Linked DNA regions of Coturnix japonica. The protein of the gene in region 1 purifies or fractionates together with the protein of each later gene. This does not show direct contact. Links are inferred from orthologs where the notes say so. Each region holds a gene or a part of one and is shown on either strand. Other genes may lie near its edges.

Region 1 (3,649 bases):
ACAGGAATAAAACGTGTCAGGCACATTTTAGTAGCCCTATTAAATTTTGTATTAAAAAAAAAATAGTGCCACTTTTGTTTTCTGGATGGTGTAAAGCTTTTATGTTAGTAAAAAGTTAACTTAAGTTTTGGTTTTCAAAAGGAAGTGTGGTGCTCTTAATAGCTTAATGGTTCTACGTGTGTGAAACAACATATTATAATTTTGTTATAACATTTCAGATATTCCCTAAAAAGTATAGATCCAGTATTAATGGCTCCTACGTGTGTGTTTTTGGCATCCAAAGTAGAGGTATGAAGCATTACAATTTTTTAATGTGAAATTATGTGATGTATGAGAGTGGAAAAACGTTCAGGACTTTGAAATTTTTTTGTCATTCTTCATGCTGTGGGGGTTAAACCTTCTGGGTGTTTTTTTGGTATGGATTTCTATCGCAATTTAAGAGAAGGAGACAGAAGGCCTTCAAACATTTTATTTAATATTTGATCTTTCACATTTTTGTCTGAATTACTAACCCTGAAGAGCCTCTGGACAATTGGAAAGGTTACTTTTAAATGTCTGTTTTACTGTCACAGTGTTTATGTATTTACATACAGTGTATCTTAAATTGTGCAGTTTTTACTTGATTCTCCTTTCTCGTGTGCTTTTCCTTCTTATGCTTACTCAAATTTTAAAACAAATTAGATTTTTTTTTTCCTAATTGTCTTTTTCCTTTTCTTATAGTGAGGGGATCCTCAGAGTTTACCACACTTTCATTACTTGAATTAAAAGCATGTTGTAGCTCATGTGCTGTGTTTGAGAAGGAACTGGCCCATTAGGGATAGTGGTGAGAAGGCCCGAGTCTTCCGCCAGTGGAGGTGAAGGTCCTCTTTGGAGGTGGCTAAAAGTTAGCGTCAGCTAGGCCCTGTTCCCAATTTTCTAAGAAATGGGAGAAGTTTTTCAGTAGCCTGAGGAAAATCTGCATAACGGGGGGGGAAAGAAAAATCATACTGCTAGATCTGTGCTATATTTGCGCCCATTAATTTTATGGGAGGAACCTAAATACCTACAGGCAGTCCTACTGAACTGATGTTTGTGTGTGATACTCTTATCTATACAAAAGCTCTGATACATTCCAGTGTTTGGAAGAGATAAAGGAAAGGAGAAAGACAAGACATTGGATAGAGTTTTGTATTTTTTATCACCTTGTTGATTAAGCCTTTGAAATCTACTCATATAAGGAAAATCTGTCCACTTACACTTTATATTAGAGCAGGAGTTAGAAGGCAGCACAGCCTTCCTGATGCTAAAGCTGCTGTATCTTCAGAAGGCAGATGCAGCGGTAATGATTCTGGTATGTGCATCTCCAAAAGGAAGTTATAAGTAGAAATTTTTGACTTGCTGGCTGCTTCAGTGGAAAACTGAAGGCTTCATAGAAACATAATTTAAGAAGTTAGTTAATGACAGCTTTATTAATGTGGTTTTCTGTCCAACTAGGATAAAAACCAGCACACCTTAGTGAAGCTTTTTTGACTGTTTTACGTGTAGGTTGTTAGCAAACTAATCTTCAGGTATTATCGCTGTAGTACCTTTCTCGGACATTTACTATTCTTCATTCTTTATAACTCAAACAACAAAGTAAAAAAAAAAAAAGAAAAAGAAAACTTTTTTAACCTGAATTGTATAATTTACTCTGTTTACCTTTAAAAATAATAATAATTTTAAAAAGGGGGTGGGGAAAAAATGAAATGCTTCATAAAGTCCATTTAAGAGGCTATTTTAATTTGATATTAGTGTGGATAAGCAGTATTTCTGGTGGTTCACCTCATTTAACCCTCTTTTTCTTCAGGAGTTTGGTGTTGTTTCAAATACAAGGTTGATTTCTGCTGCTACTTCTGTGTGTAAGTATTAGTGGTTTTCATTATGCTATGGTTAAGTATCTCTGTAGGGAAGTTAGACTTTTTTATGATAGCTGTTTTTATTAAGTCACGGGTGGTTACATGTTGACTGCTTGGAGCCAGTTAAATCCATTTAGCATAAATAACTTCTGTTTTTAAATATGGAAACAGAAGGCTCTACCCTTTATTAGTTCTTGTTGATTCTGATTGAAGCTTGTAGGAACCACAAATAAAACGAAAATTAGATACCGAGGCTAATACTTAGTCTAGAGTAGTAAATAGAGATCTGAGCTACTCAAAGATAGAACTGGAACTTAGGGCTTTATTTATTTATTCTATCAGGTGTTTTTCCATGTTTGTAGAATTTTTGGTAGGCTTCATGCCTCCCGAGTTTTTAATCCCTTTTTTCCTCCCATCATAAATTAATTTTCACACGATATTAGAGTGCTACGGTTAGGCTGCGGTTGGACTTGATGATCTTTGAGGTCTTTTCCAACCTGAGTAATTCTACGATTCTATGATTTATTTCTAAATCTGTGTTTCAAAACTTACATATTGTTCATAAACAAAGATGCAACAAAATCACACTGTAATTCCTTTATTTTCCCTCTTTCCCACTCGCCTTATATTTCCCACTACTGTAAATTTCATGTCAAACATCAAGGTCTTAAAGCAATGGCTTCCTTAACTAAATGCTGTAATTTGACCCAGAAGGTCCAGCTGCTCTCAAAAGGCAATTCCTCATTATGCTCTTCAAAATGTAGGTCAGTGCTTTCAAAATAGCTCTTAGCTGCTGAGGGGACAGGTGACTGGCTGCATCTGTAGCCTGCACATGCGGTAACTGTATCAGTCCATGGGGCTGGCTGTATGACAGTTCTACCACCAGAAACTAAAACACGTCTTCAGTGCCAGCCTGACCAAGACCAGTACTAGATTTAGCAGTAAGTGCTGCTATTATTATAGCAGAAGCATCTCCAAGCACAGATCTGTGTAGCTATTTTGATGCATGAATGAGAAACTTAGATGGATTTTAGTTGATTTTACTTAGTCTTCTACTGTTGAGTTGTGTTGTTTCTGAACATTCCAAGGCTCAGAGTCCTGTAGAAGATTACTCTCATGGTTCTTCCTTCAGACCTAGGGTTCCTGTGCGTCCTGATGGGCACTCAGCATTTCTTGGAAGTGGGGGAAAAAAAAGCAACAGGCTTTTTCCTTGCATTTTTGTGCTTTTATTCTACCTACTCTTCCTGTACAATAGCTGCTGCTTCAGTACACATCAATTTATTTGGAACAGAAAAGGAGTAAGAAGATGAGAATAGTCAAAGGAAGCTAGCAAAGGGAAAATAGCATAGTTGTGGCTAGTTTGCTTTTTGTTAAGTAAGAACATTGGAACTAGTAGCACGTGCTTCCTTTGTGAGGAAGATATCTCATAACTCGCAAGCTCTTCAGAAGCTTTTCCTTCTGTTTACACAGCTGAACTGAGAGGACAATTTCATATGGTTGTCTCCAGCTTGCTGTATTGGGAAATAAATGTTTCTATTTCTTTTCCCTTCAAAGTAGTTTATTTTTCAGCATTTATCTCTTTAACTTGCATGCTACTTGAGATGTCTGTTTGATTCCTTCTTCTGTTATCTTGAAATAATTAAGATTTCCAACCAGTGGATTAGTCTTACTGCCCTGCAGCAACTTTTCTAGTGAAGTTCACCATAGATCTCTATATTGAAGCTTTCCATCCAGAGGACTGACGTCTTTCAAAGGGACTGGCGTATGGATTCCCT
Region 2 (4,117 bases), on another chromosome or scaffold:
AAAACCAGCACAGCACAGAATAAAATGACCCCTGAGGAGCCTGAATCAAGTCTTGCTTTAGAAACAGCCCATAAAACGACGTGCAGAAATGAACCTCTCTGCTCAGCCCCACACAAAGGCATTAGCATCCTGTACCTCCTGCTTGGTTCAGTCAAGGGCCATGAATCCCACCAGCCTTCCCGCAGGGATCTGCTCAGCAGGTCCTGGGCACCCCTGGGCTCTCCTGCACATTCCAGAACTGGTGACCAAGCCGGGATCTATTCTTGACAGTAGAACAATGTGAACAATTGCATCTGCTATATTTAGAGCGAGCAGTCAATAATACATACGCACAAACGGTTACCAGCGTTCTCATTTGATACATAAATAGTTCGCTTTTCAAAAGAAATTGTTTTTTAAAATGAAAATTACCTTTCCCGTCATCCCTGGGCTATAACTAACTGATGAACCCGGGAGCTGAATTCAAATAAAAAACAAAATTATCTGTGCTCTCTAAGCCAATCCAGGAAGGATAACTCACGACTGTGGCTGCTGTTATCAGTGCTACAATAGTGTGTATTGACAGAGCGGTTTAAACGCGGCAGCAGCAGTTTGCTGAAGCACACTCCTGATGGTGCACAGGGGCAGCACTGCTCACCCTCACCTTCCATGCAGCGTGTTCTCCATCACCCCCTTGCACTCACAGCCCAGGCACCCAAGAACCCCACCTCTCCCCTCCTTGCAGCTTCATGGATGTCTCAGCCCTGCTGCTGGATTTTTGCCTCCATTCCTTCAGGTTTCTCCAGTTCCAAGCCCTGAAAGCCCTTCTCTTCTCCAGGCTGAACTCCCTCAGCCTGCCTTTATATGGGAGAGGTGCTCCAGCCCTCACAGCATCTCCATGGCCCTCCTCTCCAACGAGGACAGCCAGGAACAGTTGGGCTGCACACAGGTCAGGGATGCTGTAGGTCACACTGTGGGGTGCTCAGTGTGGGTGTGCAGGGCACTGCCTTGGGAGCACAGGCCCGGCTCAGCTGGGGAACACCTCAGCAGCAGTGCAGTCCCATATCTGAGACCCAGTCCCAAAGCTTGACCCCGGGCTCAGCCCCCACACCCACCCTCACAGCCCAGGACCCAGGGAGGCCTCCGAGCCCCGCTCCGGCCCAGGCCTCAGCCCCAGGCCACGGCCCGCAGCATCCCCACACCCCAACCTCCTGCCCAGGCCCAAACTGAGCCCCACACACAAGCAGCATCTGATGCTCAGCCCAGGCCGCCGCCGGGGCGGTACAGAGCGGCCGAGCTCCGCCCCGCTCCGTCACTGCTCGGCGCCGGGGGCCGCCATGGCCTCGGTGGTGTCCGCAGGCCGAGGGGCCGCCGAGGAGCCGCCGCCGGCCGAGCCGCCCACCGAGCAGAAACCGCCGCCCGCCCCGCCGGCAGCAGCGCAGGAGGAGTTCTCCTTCCTGCCGCTCGTCCACGACATCATCAAATGGTAACGGCGGCCGCACAGCGCCGGGCCGGCCTCACCACGGCATCACCCCGCAGGGATGCTCCCTCTGCCCTTTCTCTCCCCGCTGGGGTCTATGGGGGGGTTGGCAGCTGCTCTGCTCTGAGCCGGGCCCGTAGTTGGGGTCACCGAGGTGGGGCAGGGCCGGGTGTGCAGCAGCAGGAGCCGTGCCGAGCTGTTATTGCCCCGTATTGCTGCTCTGATGGGCTGATAAGTAAAGGACGGGCAGTCCCAGGGCAGCACTGTCTGTTTCTGGGCGTTGGGAGAAAGAGGAAGGCTTGTGCAGGCTGAGTCATCCTCTTTCCTGTTCAAAATCAATGCTGTGGGGTTAAAGGTGTTCGTACGAGGGTCCTGACAACCAGCGTTTGTGGCCCAGGGTAACCCTGTCAGAAATGTTTGAGTTCCCGGTAGGGGCATCGCCCTGCTGTGACCTGGGCACGTTGCACAGTGATGCAGAGGGCACAGGAAGCGTGAATTCCCACTCCTTGTTGTGGGTCTGACTGCCCTTTCCCTGCACGCTTCTATGGGAGCTGAGGCTGCTTTGTTTCCTGCTGGGGTTCTGTGTGTCTGAGTACCCAGAAGAGGTTCACCCTTATTAACCATGCAGCTGGAGGAGCATGGCAAGGAAAGGCCGAATACCCCACAGACACGGCAGCCTAGAATCTAGCTCTCCTAGATTCAGGAGAGCTATGAGAACTCAAACCCACCCTCCATTTCCCCCCTGCGCTGCCACTGTCCCTGTGCTCAACCCTGCCTGATCCATCCAGAGGTGATGCTGAACCTGCTGCCATCTGTATATGTGTGCAGAGCCAGAGTGAGCCAGATCCACGGGCTGAGACCTCCCAGCCTCCTGTGTGTCACCAAGCAAGTCGTGGCGACCCACAATGACAGTGCTGGGATATCCTGTGCCCTGTCCCTCTGAGCCACCCACTCCCACTGCCCCGCTCCCCCCCAGGTTGGCACACAGCATTTCCTGCACGGGGTGAGCAGACGTAGGTGCTCAGAGCAGCACTGCAGAGGGGTCAGACGGCAGAGCCGAGCAGTGGGATGAGTTGCCTCATGTCCCTGACAGATGGCAAACGTATTATCCTTTAACGCCGCCGCCAGGCTCACAGCCCGGCCCTGCTGTTCTGACACTGACTCAGCCCTGAAGACATTTCACATCTCCAAGGTGACTGTGCTGGGGTGCAGTGATGTATCGCGTACATTTGCTTACATTCAAGGACACGTGTTCCTTCCTGTTGTTTGAGTCCCAAGAAAGTTCTCCCAGGCAGGGCTTGCTGTTACTTTCACCCTTGTATAATCAGATGAGGTTACCTGTGAGGTCCCTGTGCGTGGTGGGTTGTGCTGGTGTATCCAGGAGCTGCAGGTGGGACATGATGGAGTTATGATTTGTTCACAGCAGTGAAGGAGAGCTGGTGGGCAGCTGGGGAGGGTCTGAAGATCTCAGTCCTTGAAGGGAGATCCCAAGCACTGTGAGGCTGTGGCTGGACATTGCATTTAATCCTGTGTAACTGCAGGTAGCTGAACCTCTTCCCACTCTTGCTCTCCCCCCTGCCTTTCCATGCCTGCAGAGGAGCTGCTTCAATTACTTGAAAACTCCCATCAGAAACAAAACAACAACAAGCCTGAAAATAGTTATTCCTTCAAACCAACCAACCAACCAGGCAACCATCCATTCTTTGGATGTGGAGAAGAGAACGAGCTGTGGAAGGACCTGGTCGGCCCTTTGAATCCAGCATGCAGCTCGTGTGGATTAAAGGCAATGCCAACCCATCCTTCCCAGATGTGCAATGTGTGTGTGCCTGTATTTTTCCACTGTCAACTTGACCGTAAACGCCTGCATAATGGGGGTACATTATAGTACCAGCTGCGGTTTTATTTAGAAGGGAGTCATGAATATTTTGTTCCAACAGGCTGTTGAAATGAACGGGACCATCTGGTTAAAAGTTTTGCTCTCAGTCGTGTCACGATTCCCCAAAGTTCTAATCAGGCACCTCTCTGCCCTGGTCATGCCAAGCAGTTTTATTTTGGGCCTGGCTATTGAACAGGCTCCCAGCTTACAGGGGCCGTTAGCAGCCTGCTCTCGTTATTAGCGCTGCCTTGGAAGCAGTCTCGCCTTTGCCTGGAATGGTAAAACTCCTTGCTGTAGCTAACAAAGCTGAAGCAGATACTAATGAGGGTTTGAGGGCAGACGCTGCCTCAGACGACGCTGATCCTCGAGAAGCACGGAGCTGCAGAAGCAATTGTGCTGCTCTTAAAAAATAAGCTGTCGCTTCTCTTTATTAGGTAGACATCCCCGGAGAGTCGTTCTGAAGCTCCGAAATGCCGTTTTCTCTGCCATTGGACACACTCTGGTACTTTGGGGAACGATTCCTATTTTCTGCTGTCAAGCTGTTTGACTGCATCGATTTCTTGTATTGCTTTGACAACAGGTCACAGACGGGGCTGAGGTCTTTTTTCCCAGGTGCCCACACACAACCTGTGTGTGTGTAATCTTACCTTCCCCATATGGGAATTGAAACAGAGTGAGAGGCTGTGGTAGTGTTTGAAAGCTGCAGACCAGGTCTTAACCTGTAGGACTGCAATTAAGGTTACTGGATGGTGTGCTGAAAATGACCAGGAAACCAGTTTGTC
Region 3 (3,649 bases), about 4.5 Mb from region 1:
TTCTTAACGCATTCTATGACAAGCCTGTTTCAGACTTTTGTTTAACTTCTTACAGTTTAAATCCCCGTAGAAACAGAGTCTGGCTGAGATGACATTTGAGGATTACTAGTGGTAGGATGTATTACTGGTTTTGCTCAGTGTGAAATGGAAATACGTATCATCCAGCAGCCCTTGAAGAGGCAAATTTAAGATCTTTGAGATTTTAAATGAATACACCGTTGCAAATTTGATCTGATTATATCTTGGGAAACTGTTGTGATGAGTGGCATAGATATAGATTTTTGTGTCATTTTTCTGAGATAACTGAAATGGCTTGCCGTGACTGAGAGCATCAGCAATTTAGTGCTAGTGGCAGTTGGTTGTCAGGATTTCTGATTAACTGATAACATGAGGATGTAATAAAGGCTGCCATACCAAACCTTTGAGAACTACATAAGCAGATATCACAGGGAAAAAAGACTATCCTGAAATGTTCCACACTCCCATGCAGTACACTATGATTGGGGGGTGTGACTTAAATGTAGGGATTTTTAATTCAAGACATGAAAATTGCAGAGCTTTCTATGATGAACAGGTTACATACCTGACATTAGGAGCACAGTTGCTTTTCTTTGCAGTTCTCTTACTTGCTTCTTCTCTTGGAGGAGTCTTCTGTAATGCTCAAAAGCAGACAAACACAGGTGGTCTTTCCTTGTGAGTGTCTAACCATAGGGAGAAGAGTTGCAATTTTGCTACTTTTCTAACCTCTCTAGACCTTAATGCTTTTTCCAGTCCATAGCTTCTGAAACCAGAAGAGCTGCACCTTTTACTCTTCTGCTTCTGTGTTCTCCTTAACTTTTTCCCTCCCTTCTGTGGCACTTTGCTCTTTCTCCCTGTTAGGCCATGGTATTGTATTAATTGCCTCACTTCTCTTCCTTTGCTATTCTTTTCTTTCTCATGCCAGATTCTTATCTCACCTTTGTCCTTCTCTTCTATTTTCAGCTGTTTCTCTCTGGTCATTTGTCACTTCCTGCTGTCTCAGTAAGATTTTCAGACCTTATAGCTAGGTACCATGCTGGACTGTGTTCCCAATGTACCACTCTTTCCAAGGTGCTTTTAAAAGAAAGAGAGAAAAAGGGTAATGGAACCTGCTTTTGGTTCTGCCACAGAATTTCCTTGTAACTGGAAGAAATGATGTAATGTTTCTGGTCTTGTTTTGCTTACCTTTCTGATGGCAACACTGCCAGCCTCCTTTGGATGATTGCAGTGCATCATCTGTGGAAGTTGGAAAAGTGGTTTTAGTTCTAAGTGAATGGGGCTGTTAAAGCACTTAGGAAAATGTACTGTGGTTCGCCACATCTGCCACTGAGAACCAGTGAAATTTGGGGCGCTTTGATTCTGCTTATTAAGTGTTTATAAATAGCTCCTTCCATCCTGCTCACTGTTACTCTGGCCTAAGTGCTTGCCTAGCTGCAGCAATCACTAAGCTGTCATGCCAACTCTAGTCAATCCTGCTTTGTTAAAAAACAAACAAAGAAAAAACAACACAAAACCACAATGGAAAGAAGTGAGCCACAAATGAGATACCCCAATTTGAGGCAGGCAGGAGCACGCAGGGAGCTCATGTTATGCATTACCTGGCCTTGCTTTCCTGGCGAGCACGTGGGCCTGCTGCCTTTCCAGCAGCACAGTGGCACCCAGCTTAGTGACTCTGTCAGGATCACAAACAAGTACAGAGCGAATGATGGTGTGCTGTCACTTCTTTCTTCCCTTAGAATCAGCAGCAGCAGAACCAACATCAGCAGCAAACAGCACCTCAGCAGCAGCCGCAGGCCGCACCGCAGCAACCGCAGCAGCAGCAGCAGAACAGCACCCAAACCAACGGGACGGCCGGGGGCACGGGTGCGGGCGGAGGGGGCGCGGGTGCGGGACTCCAGCACAGCCAGGACTCCAGCCTCAACCAGGTGCCTCCAAACAAGAAACCACGCATAGGGCCTTCAGGCGCTAACTCAGGCGGGCCTGTCATGCCTTCAGATTATCAGGTACTTCTTGAATTTTTGCTGCTTCTGATTGATTGGAGGCAAAATGTTGTTTTCTCTGTTCCCCACTGCAATAAATATGAATATAATGTTTTAATGAATTTTCCTCATAACCTTAGCTCCGTGCTCTGATACATTAGATAAAAATGCAGCTTTAAAGCCTATTAGGGAAGTAAAAACGTCTGCTTCACCCTCTAAAGTGTTGAGGACTCAACCACCCCAGGAAAGCATGTAAATATGTGTGTAGCTTTATTTGAGAATAATCTTAGCGAAGCCACTGCAACTATTTCATGAATGTAAATGCTGCATCATATCACATTCAAAATACTTGGCTCTTGGCAAGGTTAAGTCCTGTGTGAGAGGCAGATTCTGGGAAGCAAGTCAAAATTAGAGCCAGGCTTTCTCCTTTGGTTTCTGCTTTGTTTTACCTCGTATCATCACACATATGGAACAATTCTGTAGTTTGTTCCAGTATCTTACTAAATTTACTTCTAAAGTTAGACTACATGATAGCACAGGTTTGGTTCATCAGTATGAATCATGCTGAAGCAGGGCATGAGCGTGTGTAATCTCTGTTGTGGCAGGGGTTGAATAGCTTTCATGCTTTTTGCTTCAGTAGCATTCATACATAAAAGAAGTATCACTGAATTGTTTTTGGACTTGAACTTTTGTCTCTGCTTAATAGAATTATGATTCTTTTCTCTGAAAAAGTGACACTAAGTGTCCAAAGAGTTGATTCAACCACGTTCTTCAAATCAGATAAAAGGAAGTTAGCTTAGTAAAGGTATGTTTTAAAGCATGTTAGGGATTCTGCTTGCTACCAACCCTCAAGAGTGCACCATGTTCAAGAAACGTTTTCAGGCTATTTTAAACAGATTTAAAACAAAACAAAGCAACTCTGCAATTGCTTTGGCTTCTCCACCCGTACCTCCTCCACACACAACTGCTTTCTCAGTGCCAGACATTTTTCTCCTATTTCTCTTTTACTCTTTTAATTGCAAATTATCACACAGGTACTGAGGGCAGTGTAAGGTTAAAGACAACAAGGTTTCCTTTCTGAAAAGTTCCAGGCAGGCTTGAAGTCTGGACAGATCACTACAGCTGTCTGACTACATAGTATTTATGGCTGGTCTGTTTTGATCTGCATTTTGAGAGCTGATGTGCTGCATTAGATGATGTTCATTACAGAATCCTTGCACAGCTCTCCAAACTGTTGGCAAGTTTCCACCTTGCAAGTTTTTTAGCAGTCTAAATCTAATTTTTCTCCTTTTTTTGAGATGGTTAAATTCTTTTTTACCTCCCATGACCATTTCCTTCTAGGATTTAACAGCACAGGCAGTGAAATAATGATCTGTGTGCTCCCTTTACATCACTTGCTAAACTGTCTGATCTGATTATCCAGTTTTAAATTTGTATCTGGCTCTCTGCCCTTAAATTGTAGCTGACAGTCTTCTGTTCCAGGAAGGAATGTTTGCAATTTGTCCAAGTCTGACTTAGATCTATAAAATAATAATAATTAAAAAAAAATATCTCTGCAGAATAAAAATAAGCGTGAGCAAGTTAATTTGTTCCTGTAGTCCTGTGCATCAATTTTACTCCATTATATTCTAACTCGAAAGTAGTAGGAGGAA

The links.
Region 2: the proteins of CCNC (region 1) and MED9 purify together in Homo sapiens (affinity purification with mass spectrometry; 4 studies listed by BioGRID and IntAct, counting the BioPlex papers as one, with this or other methods). This does not show direct contact. The link is inferred for Coturnix japonica from reciprocal best matches to the Homo sapiens genes CCNC and MED9.
Region 3: the proteins of CCNC (region 1) and CDK19 purify together in Homo sapiens (affinity purification with mass spectrometry; 8 studies listed by BioGRID and IntAct, counting the BioPlex papers as one, with this or other methods). This does not show direct contact. The link is inferred for Coturnix japonica from reciprocal best matches to the Homo sapiens genes CCNC and CDK19.

What each region holds. Positions count from the first base shown.
Region 1 is NC_029518.1:64,948,221-64,951,869, forward strand, and holds part of CCNC (cyclin-C), read left to right. Parts: intron 1-218; coding exon 219-288; intron 289-1,825; coding exon 1,826-1,877; intron 1,878-3,649. UniProt on the Homo sapiens protein: Component of the Mediator complex, a coactivator involved in regulated gene transcription of nearly all RNA polymerase II-dependent genes.
Region 2 is NC_029529.1:4,804,070-4,808,186, forward strand, and holds the start of MED9 (mediator of RNA polymerase II transcription subunit 9), read left to right. Parts: upstream 1-1,281; 5' UTR 1,282-1,316; coding exon 1,317-1,465; intron 1,466-4,117.
Region 3 is NC_029518.1:60,492,134-60,495,782, forward strand, and holds part of CDK19 (cyclin-dependent kinase 19), read left to right. Parts: intron 1-1,754; coding exon 1,755-2,021; intron 2,022-3,649.